2 linked regions of the Xenopus tropicalis genome follow. The protein of the gene in region 2 interacts with the protein of the main gene of each other region in a pairwise test. Links are inferred from orthologs where the notes say so. Each region holds a gene or a part of one and is shown on either strand. Other genes may lie near its edges.

What was found.
Region 1: the proteins of lmo1 (region 2) and ptpn3 interact in binary tests that used the Homo sapiens proteins (3 or more experiments, as listed by UniProt). The two-hybrid records come from large-scale screens. The link is inferred for Xenopus tropicalis from reciprocal best matches to the Homo sapiens genes LMO1 and PTPN3.

The regions. Positions count from the first base shown.
Region 1 is NC_030682.2:75,267,169-75,275,986, forward strand, and holds part of ptpn3 (tyrosine-protein phosphatase non-receptor type 3), read left to right. Parts: intron 1-218; coding exon 219-296; intron 297-1,152; coding exon 1,153-1,209; intron 1,210-2,536; coding exon 2,537-2,693; intron 2,694-6,109; coding exon 6,110-6,273; intron 6,274-8,818.
Region 2 is NC_030680.2:3,671,524-3,680,441, forward strand, and holds the start of lmo1 (uncharacterized protein LOC100144284), read right to left. Parts: upstream 5,452-8,918; 5' UTR 4,799-5,451; coding exon 4,774-4,798; intron 1-4,773. UniProt on the Homo sapiens protein: May be involved in gene regulation within neural lineage cells potentially by direct DNA binding or by binding to other transcription factors.

The sequences.
Region 1 (8,818 bases), on a different chromosome or scaffold from region 2:
TAGACCACACTAAGTCAAAATTTTTGACTTTCGGATCACCAATACGATATTATCGTGACTAATACGACAAGAAGTGAAAAGTATCCTGTATTTTGACAGCTTGATGGTGGTTTTTGTAATACTGAATTTTATAAGTCTAGAATACATCACAGAGCAGTATGTGGAAAGAAGTATATCTGCTAGGTTTATCTGCAGTTAAATTATTTTGTATATTGTAGAGTGACACTGTAAATGGAGATTTGTTGTTGGTTCATATTATACCAGATGAAGAAGGAAAATTTGGATTTAACCTAAAGGTAATAACAATTATAAATAATTATAAAATTAAAACATTCAATAGAGATGATATAGAGATAAGATTAACAAATCCTATACAATACAGTATATAGGTATGGTCTTTTGTTTAACAATTAAAATGTTTGCTAGTGGGCTAATTAAAAAAAAAGAAGTAATTTTTAAATGTTAATTGTAAACTTTGACAGTAGCAAGCAATGCCAAACAGATGCAGAAAGGGCCAGTAGGTTTTTGTGCTGTATGAAAAAGCAGTGAGGATTCACAAGAAGAGAGGGCAAGTGTATAAAGAACTGATTAAGAGTATAGAAGATCTTGGTTACAAAAAATGACTGGCCAAGTTGTGATAGTTTGTATTGGAAAAGCGACTCTTAAAGGGGTTGTTAACCTTTATACAGCACTTGCAAATCTAACAATTCACAATAATACAGCTATCATTTCCATATAGATAGCTAACAAAAAATGTGCAGCTGAAGAGATATTTACCTTAGAATTATTCCTCTGCTCAGCCTTCACTTCTGCACAAACCCTGTGCTGGGGAGGGGTCAGTGACACTGAACAACCCCTTTAAGGCCGAATATGATGACCTTATTGACCAGTTGATAAGTTTTTTTTATAGAGAGCATTATGTTATGAATAGCTTAAAAAGTGGGTTAGATACCTTTTTAGCAATTAGCAAATCCAGATTTACTAATATTAATTTGCAGGACAAAGATGATTCAGACACTGGCCTAATTACATTTCTGGAGTCTGAAATAACCCCCCTCCCAGTTGAGGCAAGTTGAACATAGCATCAATTTGGGATTTTTGCTATCATCTGGACCTAATGGAACTTATTTTACTATGTGACTATATCAACAGGGTGGAGTTGATCAGAAAATGCAGCTGGTGGTATCCAGAATAATACCAGGATCACCAGTAAGTAAGATCTATTTTAAGTAATTTCTTTGTATTACGGGAACATCATAATTTTGTTAAACAGAAATATATTGTTATTATTGTCGATAACACGTTCAGTAACTGCAACGTCTGATTGACTGTAAAGTGAGACGTTTCGGCTGAACACCTCAGCCTTTCTCAAAGTTAAAACACACTGTGAAAGCTAACATTAAATACACTGACTGGCGGGAAAATACAGACAACACAGGGGTGTGACGTCACAGTTTCACGCTGTCAAATACACATCAGCCGTGAAATGTTAATTAACATAGAATGTGTATTTTTACTACACTGTGCATAAGTGTGTATTGTGTTCAAACCAAATCAACAATTATAGAGAACGATACCAGGGGATAAGGAGAAAGTGTCAAGTACAAAGAAACAATGTATCAGATAACTAGTTACGAGTAAATTCTCTGGATTGTAAGGAGTGTAAGATACAAAGTGACATAGAGAGGAGATTACAGTCAAGGGTTGCCTTGAGAAAGGTCCCGATGGGGACCGAAACGTAACGTTGGCTGTTCATGCGTTTTTAATACACAATTGATTGTTTTTGGAATATAACTCGGTGTTGCTGGTCTTTTTTGGATATTTAAATCATTTACCTTGCACCCGAGCTAAGAGCTGAAGCAGAGTGCCACCCTGGGTTCGCTATATATGTATATAATATATATATAATATAATATATATATATAATATATATATAAAAAATAAAGTATTAAAATAAAGTAGCTGATGTTACAGGGCTGATTAGTAAATTCTAAAGCTAATTGCACTGGTTTCTGAGTTACCATGTAGTAATTATCTGTATTAATTACTAATCAACCTTATATTGTGACATTTATATTCTGTATATACAGTATATTGTGCATCTGTCCCTGAGCTCAATAACTGACAGCCGGACAGAGCATGTGCAGTGAATCAGCAGAAAAGAAGGTGGGAGCTGCTGGGGGCATCTTCCCTGCTAAAAGGCTGTGGTTGCTTTGAGTTGGTACAGAAGCCGGAAATATAATGTACAGCATTTCTACCCTACTTCATTAGTTAGGCTTTAGTTCTCTTTTAAAGCACTTACTAAGAGGTGAATGGGATGATAATTAAGGGAGTTTTATTTACACTTGTTTAGCTGCTAGAAGTCATAGCACCAGAATATCTGACATCTGTTTGTGTGTAACTGCCTTTAAAGGGTTAGCAACTTTTAAAAAATTCTATGTACATCTGATTTATTTTATATGATCATGTTGTTGTACCACCAACATGCCTCATGTTAACATTTATTATTTCCTTTTCCTTTCCAACACCTCATTAGGCTGATAAGTGCATACCAAAACTTAAAGAAGGTGATCAAATAGTCCTCATTAATGGTCGGGATATTTCAGAGCACACTCATGACCAAGTGGTAATGTTCATAAAGGCTAGTCGAGAATCTCACACTCGGGAACTTGTGCTTCTGGTTCGAAGAAAAGGTAAGCAAAGAGAGGAGATGTAAAGAGATAAAATCTAAATAGTTGCAAACAGCTCATAGATAACTTTACATGGGCTACTTTTTAAAAGAGAGCTATTTGCCTTCATATCAATCAACATAACTGAAACTATTATCAGACTGAATATATATCATTCCATAATCTATTATAGGTGAGCTTTGAACTCGTATACAGCTCCACTAGGTTAACAACTAGATTATTGCTCTGCTTTTCATAAGGCACATGCAGTTGTATCCCATGGAAATACTTGTTCTTAGTTAAAGTGCATTCATTGTGGATTTTTGTGTAAAAATAGCATTTTAAAATATGAAGTGTTATTACATATATACTGTGCAGTAATGCAAACTATAAAACACCAATGTTTTTCCAGTAGCAAATTACTTTCTAAATGCTTTTGTGGTATCACAACACCCTTTGGGGCCGATTCACTAAAGGTCGATTAAACAAATGCTATTTATAGCATGTGTTAAAAATTTTATCACTTCTTATTTTTTGCGACTTAATGCTCGATTGACTAAAAGGACACTAGTCATAATTAAGAAGTGATGCTCTTTGCGATATTTTTGAGGTATTTTCAAGCGATATATTATGCAGAGCGCGACATATTAAGCACGTAACCATTACTTTCTGAAAATTACCGTTCTGAAAATCACCATTTCCCTTAGAACTGGAGGATGCATCACTCTAGGGCCAACACATACAAAAAATACGACTGCAAACTCCACGTTGTGTTGCCAAAAGCTCACGAACTGCAATTTTACCGCCTACCCCAAGTAGGTGTTAATATTCGCACAGATTAACGCTGTATTTTGTGCGTTTAACGCTTCATATGTGATTGTGAATTATGCGTTATTACTATTTCTGTTCGCTAATTAACACAATGCACTAGAAATAACACTTTGCGATGATTCTTTTTTTTTTTTTTGCGCATGCGATATGCGGATTAACGCATGCAAAATGACTTTGATGCATCGGTACTTACTTTTTAACACAAAAAAGCATGCGATAAGCGTTACCGACCTTTAGTGAATCGGCCCATTTATGTCTTTGATATGTTTTCATGAATAATTGAGCCCATATTAATATTTGCTTGGCAGAAGATAATGGGGCATATAAGAGAATGAAAACAAATACCTTTGCTCTAATTCCTTAATATTAATATATTAATATTAGGCAACAGATTGCTGCCACTCTATTTTTTCTTGAATGATGTGATTGCACCTGTACAGGTGTACTATAAAAGGAGAAGCTGATTAAGATCAAGTAGAGCCCCTGGCAAGATTAGAATATGTGGCCCTGTCATTTCACTGGTGCTTTCCTGAGCAACATAATGTCTCATATAGCAGTAAGAAACATCAAAAGAAAAAAAAAACTCTTCAAACAAAGAGAAATTAATTAAAGTTTCTGGGTCACATATACAGCTGGTCAGTTTGCATGGTGCTGTCTTACATCCTTCACAGTTTTTATACTAGCCACCTTTCTTTAGAATGAAATGGCAACAGACTGTTCTCCAGTATTATTAGCTGTGCTTTATAGTAAGAAGATAAATGTTTACTTAAGAGAAGTTACTCTTCTGTGTTGTTGACTGGTTTGTCTAGATCAGTGCTGTCTAATTTCTATGGTACAGAGGACCGGAATTTTTCTGGCCTACATAGTGGAGGGCAGATAATGGAAGCCAGTTTTGACCACTCCCCTTTTTTAAACCACACCCATGTTATCACAAGAGCTTGTAAGACTATATCCACATTAATGGTGGTAGCACAGCAAAAACCCAAATGGTTGGTACTCACTGCAGGGATATTACCCTTCATTGATATGTGAAAGAACTTTATTATGTCATATTACAACATACCCTTAAATCTATATGCCTCCCCTGTGAATAGCACAGCAACCTTCAGCACATAATTGCACATCAGGACCATATAATTACTATTTTCAAATGCTAAGGCATAGGGCAGGCAGAATATGGCACAAACAGACAGCATATGGCAAACAGGGTATGGCAGACAGGCAGCATATGGCAGGCAGAGAATGGCACACAAAAAGGCATGGTGTGAACAGTACAGGGGCTTAAAGGTGTGTACAATACAGGGGATTACAGGTGTGAACAATGCAGGGGTTTACAGCCTGAATCTGATACCATCTAAAGCTTACACAAAGGTAAGCAGTCACAGCAGACAGACAGGCAGACAGACAGGTGGAGATGATGTCATCCAGTATGCTCAAAAGGCAGATTGCTCGGGCAACCACTTTGGGAGAGGCCAAGTTATCCGCTAAAAAGTCTATTAAAGCTGTCCAAAAGCGGTGAGATTGGGGGTAGGACCAGATTGAGTGAGAAGTAAGCCAAAGCAGGAGTCAGTAGGTACACAAGCCATCTGGCATAATTTCACAGGTGTCAAATACAAGTGGTAGAAGGTTTTGTATAGAATAATCTTTTACCTAAATAAGGATATTGTAAATTTTCTCAGTCACCTCTTCCCAATTATCAGAGGTAAGTTCAGAGATATAAGAGGAACACCATTCCTCTGCTGATCTACCCTGTAAATAGTTTTGGGCCCATCAACATAAAGTTCTGATAGATAGTAGATGTTAAGGTAGAGGTATTTATAGAAGGGGAGCTGTCGGTTCTGGGTCCTATCCTGGATTTGGGAACAATTAGTGTTCCAGGATGAGGAGCCTTTTCCTGATTTTTAATATAAGAATATGGTTTGGAACAGTTACCTAAGTCTAGCCCCCTGATGATGTGATAATAAAATAATATGGTATTGAACAGTTACCAAAGCTTATATTCTGATGATCTGGCTAACTACTATGAGACAGTATTTGAATGTCCCCAGCCTACTTCCTCCAAATACCACAAAGTTCTGCACACATTATGTCAATAAGGGAATTAAGATCTCAGTGCAATGCATTGCAGGTTATGTAGTTCCTGTATGCTGTCTTTAAGCTGTGGAGAAGTTGTTATAATTTAAAACAATTTTTTATTCCCTCCTCCCCTGCCTGGATTTCAAATTATGCAGGAAGAGAAAAACTGTTTTGCAGCTGGATTTCAGCATAAAATGGTATTTATTCATGCTCTTTGAAGGAACAGATTACAGTGATAGGTATATTAGGGGTTTCTGTGTTGTGTAGAGCTCTCTAACAAATATTGGAAGAGAAGCCGGAGTTCCCCTTTAATGTTGTCTTTGTTTATCTTGTTTTGAATGTCTAAAGCTTGGAAGGAAAAATTCACATCAAAGGCTCAGATGCAATTTGGGTAGCTTTCAGTTATTTTAAAGCCTTTAGATGCAAATAAAACAGGGTTCACACAAAATTTCAAGCTGTCCTGAACTGATCATGATAGTAAGCCCTGTTTGTCTGTTAGTGATAGCATCTGTGTTTATTCTGTTGCCTTATAGTTGTTAGACACCTTGGTAAAACAAAGTCAGAAGATGATGCTGACTTCACCTTTTTTCCACCGTCAATTCTTCCTACTTGCTCGGAATATGGTGACACATTACAGGGATCAATGGAGCAGCTTTCAAAAGGCTTGGAAACTGGAGTTGTGCTCATTCAATTTGAGGTAATTTGAGAAATATCATCTTTGGTTTAACATTTACCAATATAATAAGCATCTATCATTTTGTATGAATTAATAATTCACCTAATTGACCCCCACATCAGTAAGAGTTGTGCTGTGCTTGACACTGTCAGACAATAGAGAATGTGGTCTTGTGTTGACAAAAGACATGCTTTCAGAGATCTGATATAATCCATATAAAAGGAGTTTGATTTGCATGAAAAGTTTATTGGAGAAATGTTTGTTTTAAAAAAAAAAAAAAGGCACAATTTAGAACAAATATTGCATATCACAACGTAATATTCTTTAAAGGGGACCTTAAGAAATAATTACAAATCCTATTTTATCATGTTAGTTGAGGAAAATAAACTTTACTTGGGCTACATAAATTATTTAACCCTTTAAGTGCCAGCAGAATTTGACATTTCGGTTCCCCTCAGTGCCAGACATTTTGTAAACATTCTGTGCTCTCTCAATTTAGGGGCTTTTACTGGGGGCAGGGTTAAGTTTAGGTAGGCAAACTATATATTGTTTTTTCAGGAGAACCTGAGCTTTCCAAATATGCTTTTTGTGTTTTTGTGTATTTCCACTTCTGGAACAAGATTTAGAGCTTGAAATACAAAAAAAAAGAAAAAAATGCTATTTTTCATGATATAGGGATTTATACCAGAAACATATTTTATTTTATGGACAAAAATTCAACTGATTTGGAAAGCCTCATGTCTCCCAAACGTGCCAATACCTGATATGTATAAATGTATACATTTTCAAAGCATTACAGCAGAATACGGCATACTTTAGATTCCAAAGCCAAAAATCCTGAAACATTAGGTTTACCCCAGGAAACCATACATTTTTGAAAAGTACACATTCTGACGAATCCGAAATGGGTAACTGTCTTCCAACTCCTAAGTACCAAACCGCAATGCTTTACTGAATTTAGCATTTTTTATAAAAAATTATGAAAATTCTAAAAAATCGCCTCTAATCTTCCACTTTACACATTCGGGCGAATTCAAAATTGGTACCCATGTCTTTCTACTCCAAACTACAGAGTCGCAATGCTTTCCCAAAATTGCCAGTTTTGATGAAATACCTGAAAATCACATCAAATCTTCCACTTTCAAGCACCTTATCTCCCACATAACATTAGGTACCAAGAAAACACACCCTAAATATGAAAGCCAAGGGTCAGCTGAATAGTTTGATGCCCATTGTGCATAGGATCACTAATGTATCTGGCATTTAGAGACCCCCATAAGGAAGTTAGTGCATAGAAATTGCCCCAGAGGTCTCTTTAGCTACTGGAAATTCAACACGTTTACTGCATTTTCTGTGGGGTAAAAACACAAAAAAATACATTGACCCCCCAAAACCATATATTTTTGGAAAGTACACATTCGGATGAATTCAAAATTGGTACCCATATCTTTCTACTCCAAACTACAGAGTCGCAGTTCTTTCCCAAAATTGCCAGTTTTGGTGAAATACCTGAAAATCACATCAAATCTTCCACTTTCAAGCACCTTATCTCCCACATAACATTAGGTACCAAGAAAACATACCCTAAATATGAAAGCCAAGGGTCCACTGAACAGTTTGATGCCCATTGTGCATAGGATCACCGATGTATATGGCATTTAGAGACCCCAAAAGGAAATATGAAAGCCAAGGGTCCACTGAACAGTTTGATGCCCATTGTGCATAGGATCACCGATGTATATGGCATTTAGAGACCCCAAAAGGAAGTTAGTGCATACAAAGTGTATACACTGCAATATAAGCTACCGGCATGTGCATTATGTGCCATAAGACCCCCTAACAGTAAGGAGACCCTAGAAAACTATACATTTTCCAAAAGTACACATTCTGACAAAACAAAAATGGGTAAATACATCTTTCTACAGCAAACTACAAAGCTATGCGAAACAGAACGTTTTTTTTTACATTTCTGAAAATCGTCACAAAGCTTGCATTTTACCCCATTATGTACCCCCACATTTTGTACCGTATCAACATAAAACATTCTAAATGTGAACACCAGGGGTTTACTGAACAGTTTGATGCCCTATATGCTTAGATTTACCAAACTACAGGGGCACCCAAATAAAAATAGTGCATATGAATTTTCACATAAGACGCTCCGGCTCGTGCAAATTTTGCACTCGGTATGTATATTATGTGCCAAAGACCCCCTAACAGTATGGACACCCTAGAAAACCATATATTTTCCAAAAGTACACATTCTGACAAAACAAAAATGGGTAAATACAACTTTCTACTGCAAACTACCAAACTACAAAGCTATGCTAAACAGAACGGTTTTTATGACATTTCTGAAAATTGTCACAAAGCTTGCATTTTACCCCATTATGTACCCACACATTTTGTACCGTATCAACATAAAACATTCTAAATATGAATGCCAGGGGTCTACTGAACAGTTTGATGCCCTATATACATAGATTTACTGAACTATGTGGGGTACAGAGGATGCCAAATTGAAATACAGCAGACAAAATGTCCATGTGCAAAGACAAGTAACAAA
Region 2 (8,918 bases):
ATGCCAGGGATAGAGGGAGCACAGTGTCCTACCCGCCATGCCAGGGATAGAGGGGGCACAGTGTCCTACCCGCCATGCCAGGGATAGAGGGGGCACAGTGTCCTACCCGCCATGCCAGGGATAGAGGGGGCACAGTGTCCTACCCGCCATGCCAGGGATAGAGGGGGCACAGTGTCCTACCCACCATGCCAGGGATAGAGGGGCACAGTGTCCTACCCACCATGCCAGGGATGGAGGGGCACAGTGTCCTACCCACCATGCCAGGGATAGAGGGGGCACAGTGTCCTACCCGCCATGCCAGGGATAGAGGGGGCACAGTGTCCTACCCGCCATGCCAGGGATAGAGGGGGCACAGTGTCCTACCCGCCATGCCAAGGATTGAGGGGGCACAGTGTCCTACCCGCCATGCCAGGGATAGAGGGGGCACAGTGTCCTACCCGCCATGCCAGGGATAGGGGGGCACAGCTTCCTACCCACCATGCCAGGGATAGAGGGGGCACAGTGTCATACCCACCATGCCAGGGATAGAGGGGGCACAGAGTCCTACCCGCCATGCCAGGGATAGAGGGGGCACAGTGTCCTACCCGCCATGCCAGGGATAGAGGGGGCACAGTGTCCTACCCGCCATGCCAAGGATTGAGGGGGCACAGTGTCCTAGCCGCCATGCCAGGGATAGAGGGGGCACAGTGTCCTAGCCGCCATGCCAGGGATAGGGGGGCACAGCTTCCTACCCACCATGCCAGGGATAGAGGGGCGCAGCGTCCTACCCACCATGCCAAGGATTGAGGGGGCACAGTGTCCTACCCGCCATGCCAAGGATAGAGGGGTGCAGCGTCCTAACCGCCATGCCAGGGATAGAGGGGCGCAGCGTCCTACCCACCATGCCAAGGATTGAGGGGGCACAGTGTCCTACCAGCCATGCCAAGGATTGAGGGGGCACAGTGTCCTACCCGCCATGCCAAGGATTGAGGGGCGCAGTGTCCTACCCGCCATGCCAAGGATAGGGGGGCACAGCGTCCTACCCACCATGCCAAGGATTAGGGGGGCACAGCGTCCTACCCACCATGCCAAGGATTGAGGGGGCACAGTGTCCTACCCGCCATGCCAAGGATTGAGGGGGCACAGTGTCCTACCCGCCATGCCAGGGATAGGGGGGCACAACGTCCTACCCACCATGCCAGGGATAGGGGGGCGCAGCGTCCTACCCACCATGCCAAGGATTGAGGGGGCACAGTGTCCTACCCGCCATGCCAAGGATTGAGGGGGCACAGTGTCCTACCCGCCATGCCAAGGATTGAGGGGGCACAGTGTCCTACCCGCCATGCCAAGGATTGAGGGGGCACAGTGTCCTACCCGCCATGCCAAGGATTGAGGGGGCACAGCGTCCTACCCGCCGTGCCAAGGATTGAGGGCCCCAGTGGCACAGTTTATAGGGGGCGTGAAGTCCCCACGGCTACAGCAAAGGCAGAGGGGGGCAAATTGCTTGGACAACTGGGATTAAAAATGTCTTTGAGGGGCGGGGGGGGGGCAATGGGGTAGTTTGCTCACTGCCAGCACAGTATGAAAAGTGCAATTGCCAAGCTTTCTACCCACAATGCAACATCCCCCCCCCCCCCCCCCCCAAAAAAAATTCCAGAGTAAATGCAGTGGCCAAGGGGGCTATGTGTTTGGCACGTGATCAGGGTTAGACTGGGCCGACAGGACACCGGGAAAGAACCCAGAACCAATCCCCACCACAAAGTATTGGGGTTCCGCCCAGGACACTGGGGGGCAGTAGGGGCCCTTACACCCCAGTCTGACCCTGATCCATCAAGATTCTGTGAATCAGGTGCAATTATACTGAAAATGCCCCCAGTCTCGTTGACCTTTAATGAACAAGAAATTTTCCCCCCCCAACTGCACCTGCACTCAGGAACGACCCCCCTATTAAACAAACCCCCCCCTTATGGAACTCCCAACCATTTCTAATTAACAAGAGCCTGGAATGGTGAAGCTTTACTTGCCCTTTAAATATGATCACACCGATCTGAAAAGCGAAGGGTAAATATCCCAAACCCACTGACGTCCAATAGCCCTGCTGGTTCTGATATGTATCAGGAGTCAGAACCAGCAGTGCAGGGAAGGGAAAGGGACAGACACAGTGACAGTTACACATAACTATAAACCCAGTGAGAATGAGGAATGAATGGGTATTGGGGAGTTGTATCAGGAGTCAGAACCAGCAGTGCAGGGAAGGGAAAGGGACAGACACAGTGACAGTTACACATAACTATAAACCCAGTGAGAATGAGGAATGAATGGATATTGGGGAGTTGTATCAGGAGTCAGAACCAGCAGTGCAGGGAAGGGAAAGGGACAGACACAGTGACAGTTACACATAACTATAAACCCAGTGAGAATGAGGAATGAATGGATATTGGGGAGTTGTATCAGGAGTCAGAACCAGCAGTGCAGGGAAGGGAAAGGGACAGACACAGTGACAGTTGGGGGTAGGTTCTGCTTACCCCCCCTGGGGCATTTCTAATGAATCTGACAGGTAAATGCCCCACAGCTAAACATGAAGTTCAGGTTTCTGACAGATTTCCGAGGCTCTGGGCAAATAAAATCACAGGAAAGCGACTCTGGGCCCTAAACCTATAAAAAGGTTTTTATGAAGAGAGAGCGTTGCCGGCGGATCGATACATGGATACGGAGCGCCTGTGTAACTACACTCACTGCTATTTCTGACTCAAGTGCTTTTTATTGTACGGAAGGAAGTGCCGCTTGATTCGCTGCCCTCACAGGTATGTAAGTGGGTCCGACAGTGCCCGGGGGGGTCCAACAGAACCGCCTGAGCTTGCCCTTTGTACCCTCACATTTCAACTGTAAAGGGGAAGTAAAATTTACAAAAAAAAAAAAAAATAGAATATTCTTAGGTTTAAACCATAACCATATACTTACAGCTTATTGGCTACTGCAATATTAGTCATAGGCAGCCAATCACTCATGTTCCAGTCAGACAGTGCCCCCCCCGGTCATGCAGTAATTGGGAAGTAACTTGGGGGCGGTTTTTATAGGGTCGGGGGTGACAGAACACCAGGAAGAAACCCAGTGAGCCCTGTCGACCCAGAGCCAATCACAGCCAGCGCTTCCCCCCAACTGTGGCAAAAGTATGTGGGGGTCCCAGAGGGGCCGTGGGGTAGCAACCCTGGTGGGCCTCATACATCCCAGTCTGACCCTGCGCATGTTACATTGTAATAAATGCCTGGTTGCTAGGATCATTAAGCCTAGCAACCAGTCATCTCTATACTAAACTAGAAAGCTCTGGTGAAACCATAAATCCAAGTGCAAATCCGCTCAGATTTTTTATACCTTCAAGGTGTATTTCCCCTTTACAATGACTCCCCTGCCATTACAGGGGCTGCACGGCGCCCCAAACCTCTCGGGGGTCCGGATTGGACGCTCCTTCCATTTAAGGGAAAGCGATGACATTTCTAGTTAATACCAAAAAGTAATTTTTCTTGTGCGGTGACATAAAACCAATTACAGGAGCAGAGCTCAATACCGGCTGATAGTTATTTAACTACTCGGCCAATTCCCCACTGTCATCCGTCACTTTAAATCACCGGGAAGGGGGGGGGGGGGGGGAAGTCTGCTGCACAGTCTGAAGGGCACTGTAATATTATAGGGGGGGGGGGGTTCAGCCTCCTGGTGCTGAGTTGTAGTTCAACAACTCAGCACAATTCAGCAGGAACAGCCCACTAAGTTTGCTCATAGCCTGTACAAAGAGATACCATAAAACTATGGCACATAGGGATTCCCCTGTACTAAGCACAATTCAGCAGGAACAGCCCCTAAGTTTGCTCATAGCCTGTACAAAGAGATACCATAAAACTATGGCACATAGGGATTCCCCTGTACTAAGCACAATTCAGCAGGAACAGCCCCTAAGTTTGCTCATAGCCTGTACAGAGAGATACCATAAAACTATGGCACATAGGGATTCCCCTGTACTAAGCACAATTCAGCAGGAACAGCCCCCTAAGTTTGCTCATAGCCTGTACAGAGAGATACCATAAAACTATGGCACATAGGGATTCCCCTGTACTAAGCACAATTCAGCAGGAACAGCCCCTAAGTTTGCTCATAGCCTGTACAGAGAGATACCATAAAACTATGGCACATAGGGATTCCCCTGTACTAAGCACAATTCAGCAGGAACAGCCCCCTAAGTTTGCCCATAGCCTGTACAGAGAGATACCATAAAACTATGGCACATAGGGATTCCCCTGTACTAAGCACAATTCAGCAGGAACAGCCCCTTATATTTGCTCACAGCCAATCATGCAGTCAAACTAAATCACATGGGGCCGGCTAGAATAGCTCACATGACTAGACCAACCTGTAGCCAATCAGACAATTAGAATGTTCCCAGGCCAAGACCACCTGTAACTGGTCAGGACATGATTACAGAAGAGGGGGGTAGATACAGGGAACAGCTTCCCAGCTGAGGCAGTGGAGCCAATACATAAAAAACCGATTCAAACTCAGTTTCTACTCACTACACAATTCTAACTGCCCCCCCCCCTTGGTGCAGGAGTGAGAACCGGCAGTGCAGGGAATACAAACAGCTCAGAAATAAACACATTTACAAGTGACAGGAAAACCTGCACCAATGAGGAATGAGTTGGAGTCGGAGGGGGGGGGGGCAGTTTTGGGGGGCAGTTTCCCTTTACAGCAGTGTCGGGTTCATCCATATTCATTGGCTGGGGGACTTGCATATAAATGACTTACCATCCTCCTTCTCTAACACCATCATCTCAGGGTCGGGGGGGGTGGGGGACCCCAGAGACCCCTCCTGCTCCAGAAGCTGCCGGGGTCGGGTTGTACCGGTCCCTGGGAACCCAAATGACACAATGTAGCCGGGTCGCCGACTCTCCCCAATGAGCTCCTTGCTCCGGTCTAGAACACCAACCCCCCCCCCGCTTGGGACACTTGGGGTCTCCCCGACTTCAGTAATTCAAAGTCAGATGAGCGGAACCATCATGGGCCGGGGGGGGGATCTCCTTGTTTGGGGGGGGCTGCTGTTAGAAGGCTTTCCATTGGGTAATAATACAAATAGACGGCAAGGGGGTCTCTTTCTAACAGGCAAAGCCCCCCTAACTCTTCATTATTCTTCCAATGGAGCCGGCGACACGGACGACAGAGACGCACCCCCCTCCGACAGACGCAGCGACCCCCCGGCGCTTCCTTACTTTGTAACAATGTAGCGGAGAGGATTCGGGGTTTTTCCTTCCCAAATTGTCCGACCGGAACGGTTCGATCCACCCCCGGAGCGACTGATCGCCGGTACCCAGGGGAGAAATCGTATTTATTCGGCCCCCCGACACCTCCTTTCTATTCAGCCGAACCGGAGACGCAGCTACATTGTCTCTGTCGCTGCCGCCGCTGCCTTTCTCTGTCCCTCCGCTTTGTACTCCTGCCCCCAAATAAACGCACAGATTTCCCACAGACCCTTTTATTCTCCTGTCACGGTTTCATGGGCAATTTAAAAGCCTTTCGGCTCATTAGCGCCACCTGCAGCTCAGTCTGCGCAACCGCAACGCAAATTACAGGGGAGAATTACTGCGACCTGTCTGCCGGCTGCACTGGGGCCCTGAGGAGCGGCGACTCAGCTGAGACACACGGTGGGGGTGGGGGTGGGGGTGGGGGGGGGGTCGTTATTCACTTGTTAAAAACAAGAAGCGGGGCCCTTTGTTAAAGGGGAAGTTAACCTTGACAATTAAGATTAATTGGAAGATAATTTGCAGTTGGTCGTCGTTCTATGTGTTATTAAACATGTTTGTCTTTACATGGCTGTAAGCGTTGACATGTTGACAACTGGTTGCTAGGGGTTAATTTACCTAGCAACCAGGCAGCAGCATGAGAGTGTAAGCTCTTTGGGGCAGGGCTCTCTTCCCCTCCTGTATCGGTTATTGATTGCTTTATATGTTACTCCTTGTAGAGTGTAAGCTCTTTTGGGCAGGGCTCCCTTCCCCTCCTGTATCGGTTATTGATTGCTTTATATGTTACTCCTTGTAGAGTGTAAGCTCTTTTGGGCAGGGCTCCCTTCCCCTCCTGTATCGGTTACTGATTGCTTTATATGTTACTCCTTGTAGAGTGTAAGCTCTTTTGGGCAGGGCTCCCTTCCCCTCCTGTATCGGTTACTGATTGCTGTATATGTTACTCCTTGTAGAGTGTAAGCTCTTTTGGGCAGGGCTCCCTTCCCCTCCTGTATCGGTTACTGATTGCTGTATATGTTACTCCTTGTAGAGTGTAAGCTCTTTTGGGCAGGGCTCTCTTCCCCTCCTGTATCGGTTATTGATTGCTTTATATGTTACTCCTTGTAGAGTGTAAGCTCTTTTGGGCAGGGCTCCCTTCCCCTCCTGTATCGGTTATTGATTGCTTTATATGTTACTCCTTGTAGAGTGTAAGCTCTTTTGGGCAGGGCTCCCTTCCCCTCCTGTATCGGTTACTGATTGCTTTATATGTTACTCCTTGTAGAGTGTAAGCTCTTTTGGGCAGGGCTCCCTTCCCCTCCTGTATCGGTTACTGATTGCTTTATATGTTAATCCTTGTAGATTGTAAGCTCTTTGGGGCAGGGCTCCCTTCCCCTCTTGTATCGGTTACTGATTGCTTTATATGTTACTCCTTGTAGAGTGTAAGCTCTTTTGGGCAGGGCTCCCTTCCCCTCCTGTATCGGTTACTGATTGCTTTATATGTTACTCCTTGTAGAGTGTAAGCTCTTTTGGGCAGGGCTCTCTTCCCCTCCTGTATCGGTTACTGATTGCTTTATATGTTACTCCTTGTAGAGTGTAAGCTCTTTTGGGCAGGGCTCTCTTCCCCTCCTGTATCGGTTACTGATTGCTTTATATGTTACTCCTTGTAGAGTGTAAGCTCTTTTGGGCAGGGCTCCCTTCCCCTCCTGTATCGGTTATTGATTGCTTTATATGTTACTCCTTGTAGAGTGTAAGCTCTTTTGGGCAGGGCTCCCTTCCCCTCCTGTATCGGTTATTGATTGCTTTATATGTTTCTCCTTGTAGAGTGTAAGCTCTTTTGGGCAGGGCTCCCTTCCCCTCCTGTATCGGTTATTGATTGCTTTATATGTTACTCCTTGTAGAGTGTAAGCTCTTTTGGGCAGGGCTCCCTTCCCCTCCTGTATCGGTTATTGATTGCTTTATATGTTACTCCTTGTAGAGTGTAAGCTCTTTTGGGCAGGGCTCCCTTCCCCTCTTGTATCGGTTACTGATTGCTTTATATGTTACTCCTTGTAGAGTGTAAGCTCTTTTGGGCAGGGCTCCCTTCCCCTCCTGTATCGGTTATTGATTGCTTTATATGTTTCTCCTTGTAGAGTGTAAGCTCTTTTGGGCAGGGCTCCCTTCCCCTCCTGTATCGGTTATTGATTGCTTTATATGTTACTCCTTGTAGAGTGTAAGCTCTTTTGGGCAGGGCTCCCTTCCCCTCCTGTATCGGTTATTGATTGCTTTATATGTTTCTCCTTGTAGAGTGTAAGCTCTTTTGGGCAGGGCTCCCTTCCCCTCCTGTATCGGTTATTGATTGCTTTATATGTTACTCCTTGTAGAGTGTAAGCTCTTTTGGGCAGGGCTCCCTTCCCCTCTTGTATCGGTTACTGATTGCTTTATATGTTACTCCTTGTAGAGTGTAAGCTCTTTGGGGCAGGGCTCTCTTCCCCTCCTGTATCGGTTATTGATTGCTTTATATGTTTCTCCTTGTAGATTGTAAGCTCTTTGGGGCAGGGCTCCCTTCCCCTCCTGTATCGGTTACTGATTGCTTTATATGTTACTCCTTGTAGAGTGTAAGCTCTTTGGGGCAGGGCTCTCTTCCCCTCCTGTATCGGTTATTGATTGCTTTATATGTTACTCTGTATGTCCAATGTATGTAACCCACTTATTGTACAGCGCTGCGGGGTATGTTGGCGCTTTTAAATAAATGTTAATAATAATAATAATAATACCCTAGCAACCAGGCAGCAGCAAGGCATAATTGCCCTAGCAACCAGGCAGCAGTTTTAGTAGCAGATGAGTAGGAAAGAGCCTGAAGGGAAATATAATAATAATAATTAAAAAAAAGAATAATAATTAAAATGAAAGTCTTTTGGTGACTTTTGGTTGCCTAGGTCAGTGATCCCCCTGGCAACCAGTCTGATAATGGGAAAACCATGGGGAAAAAAACACGACCAACTGAACAGTTGCTTGGGATGGGTATGTCGCTAATATACAAAGGTAACATTTGGGCAATAAAAATAAATGGGCAATCCAGCGGGTGTGCTTGGGTATTGTAGAACTACATCTCCCAGAATCCTATTGAAAGAGCGCTGTGTACCCCCCCCCCCCCCCCCCCCCGGTGCCCCCCTGTGATTGGAGGGTTGGGACCCTGAGGCGCCGGAGCAGAAACTAATTTATTTGGCAAATTTTATTTTATTTAAAAAAAGACCCCAGAGCAGCCGCGCAGACCCCCCCTCTTTATAAATATAACCGCCAATCATTCATGTAGGAACACAAATCAATAAGAACATAAGGACCTGCTTATTAACCCCTTCCCTGCTTGGTGACACTCAAATTCCCCATTCTTGCCTATAGTGCAGCCTTGTGATTGGTTCTCACTGTTCCGTCCCATAATGCCTAGCGACCGGGCGCAGTTTTAGGGTGCACAAGACGAGGGAATTCTGCTCCCCCCAAGTCTAAGCCACAAACAGGAATTATCCATCAAAGAAAGTTTACAATAAATTCTGCTTCGTGTCCCCTCCTTCTGCCGAAATGTGATTTCCCCTGAAAAATGGATTCTTGCCGCGGCCGCAGGGGCGTAAATTATACGGTTTCATCAGAAGTGAGAGGTGGGTGAGATATGGGCTGTACAGCCGCTACCTTAAACTCCTGCGG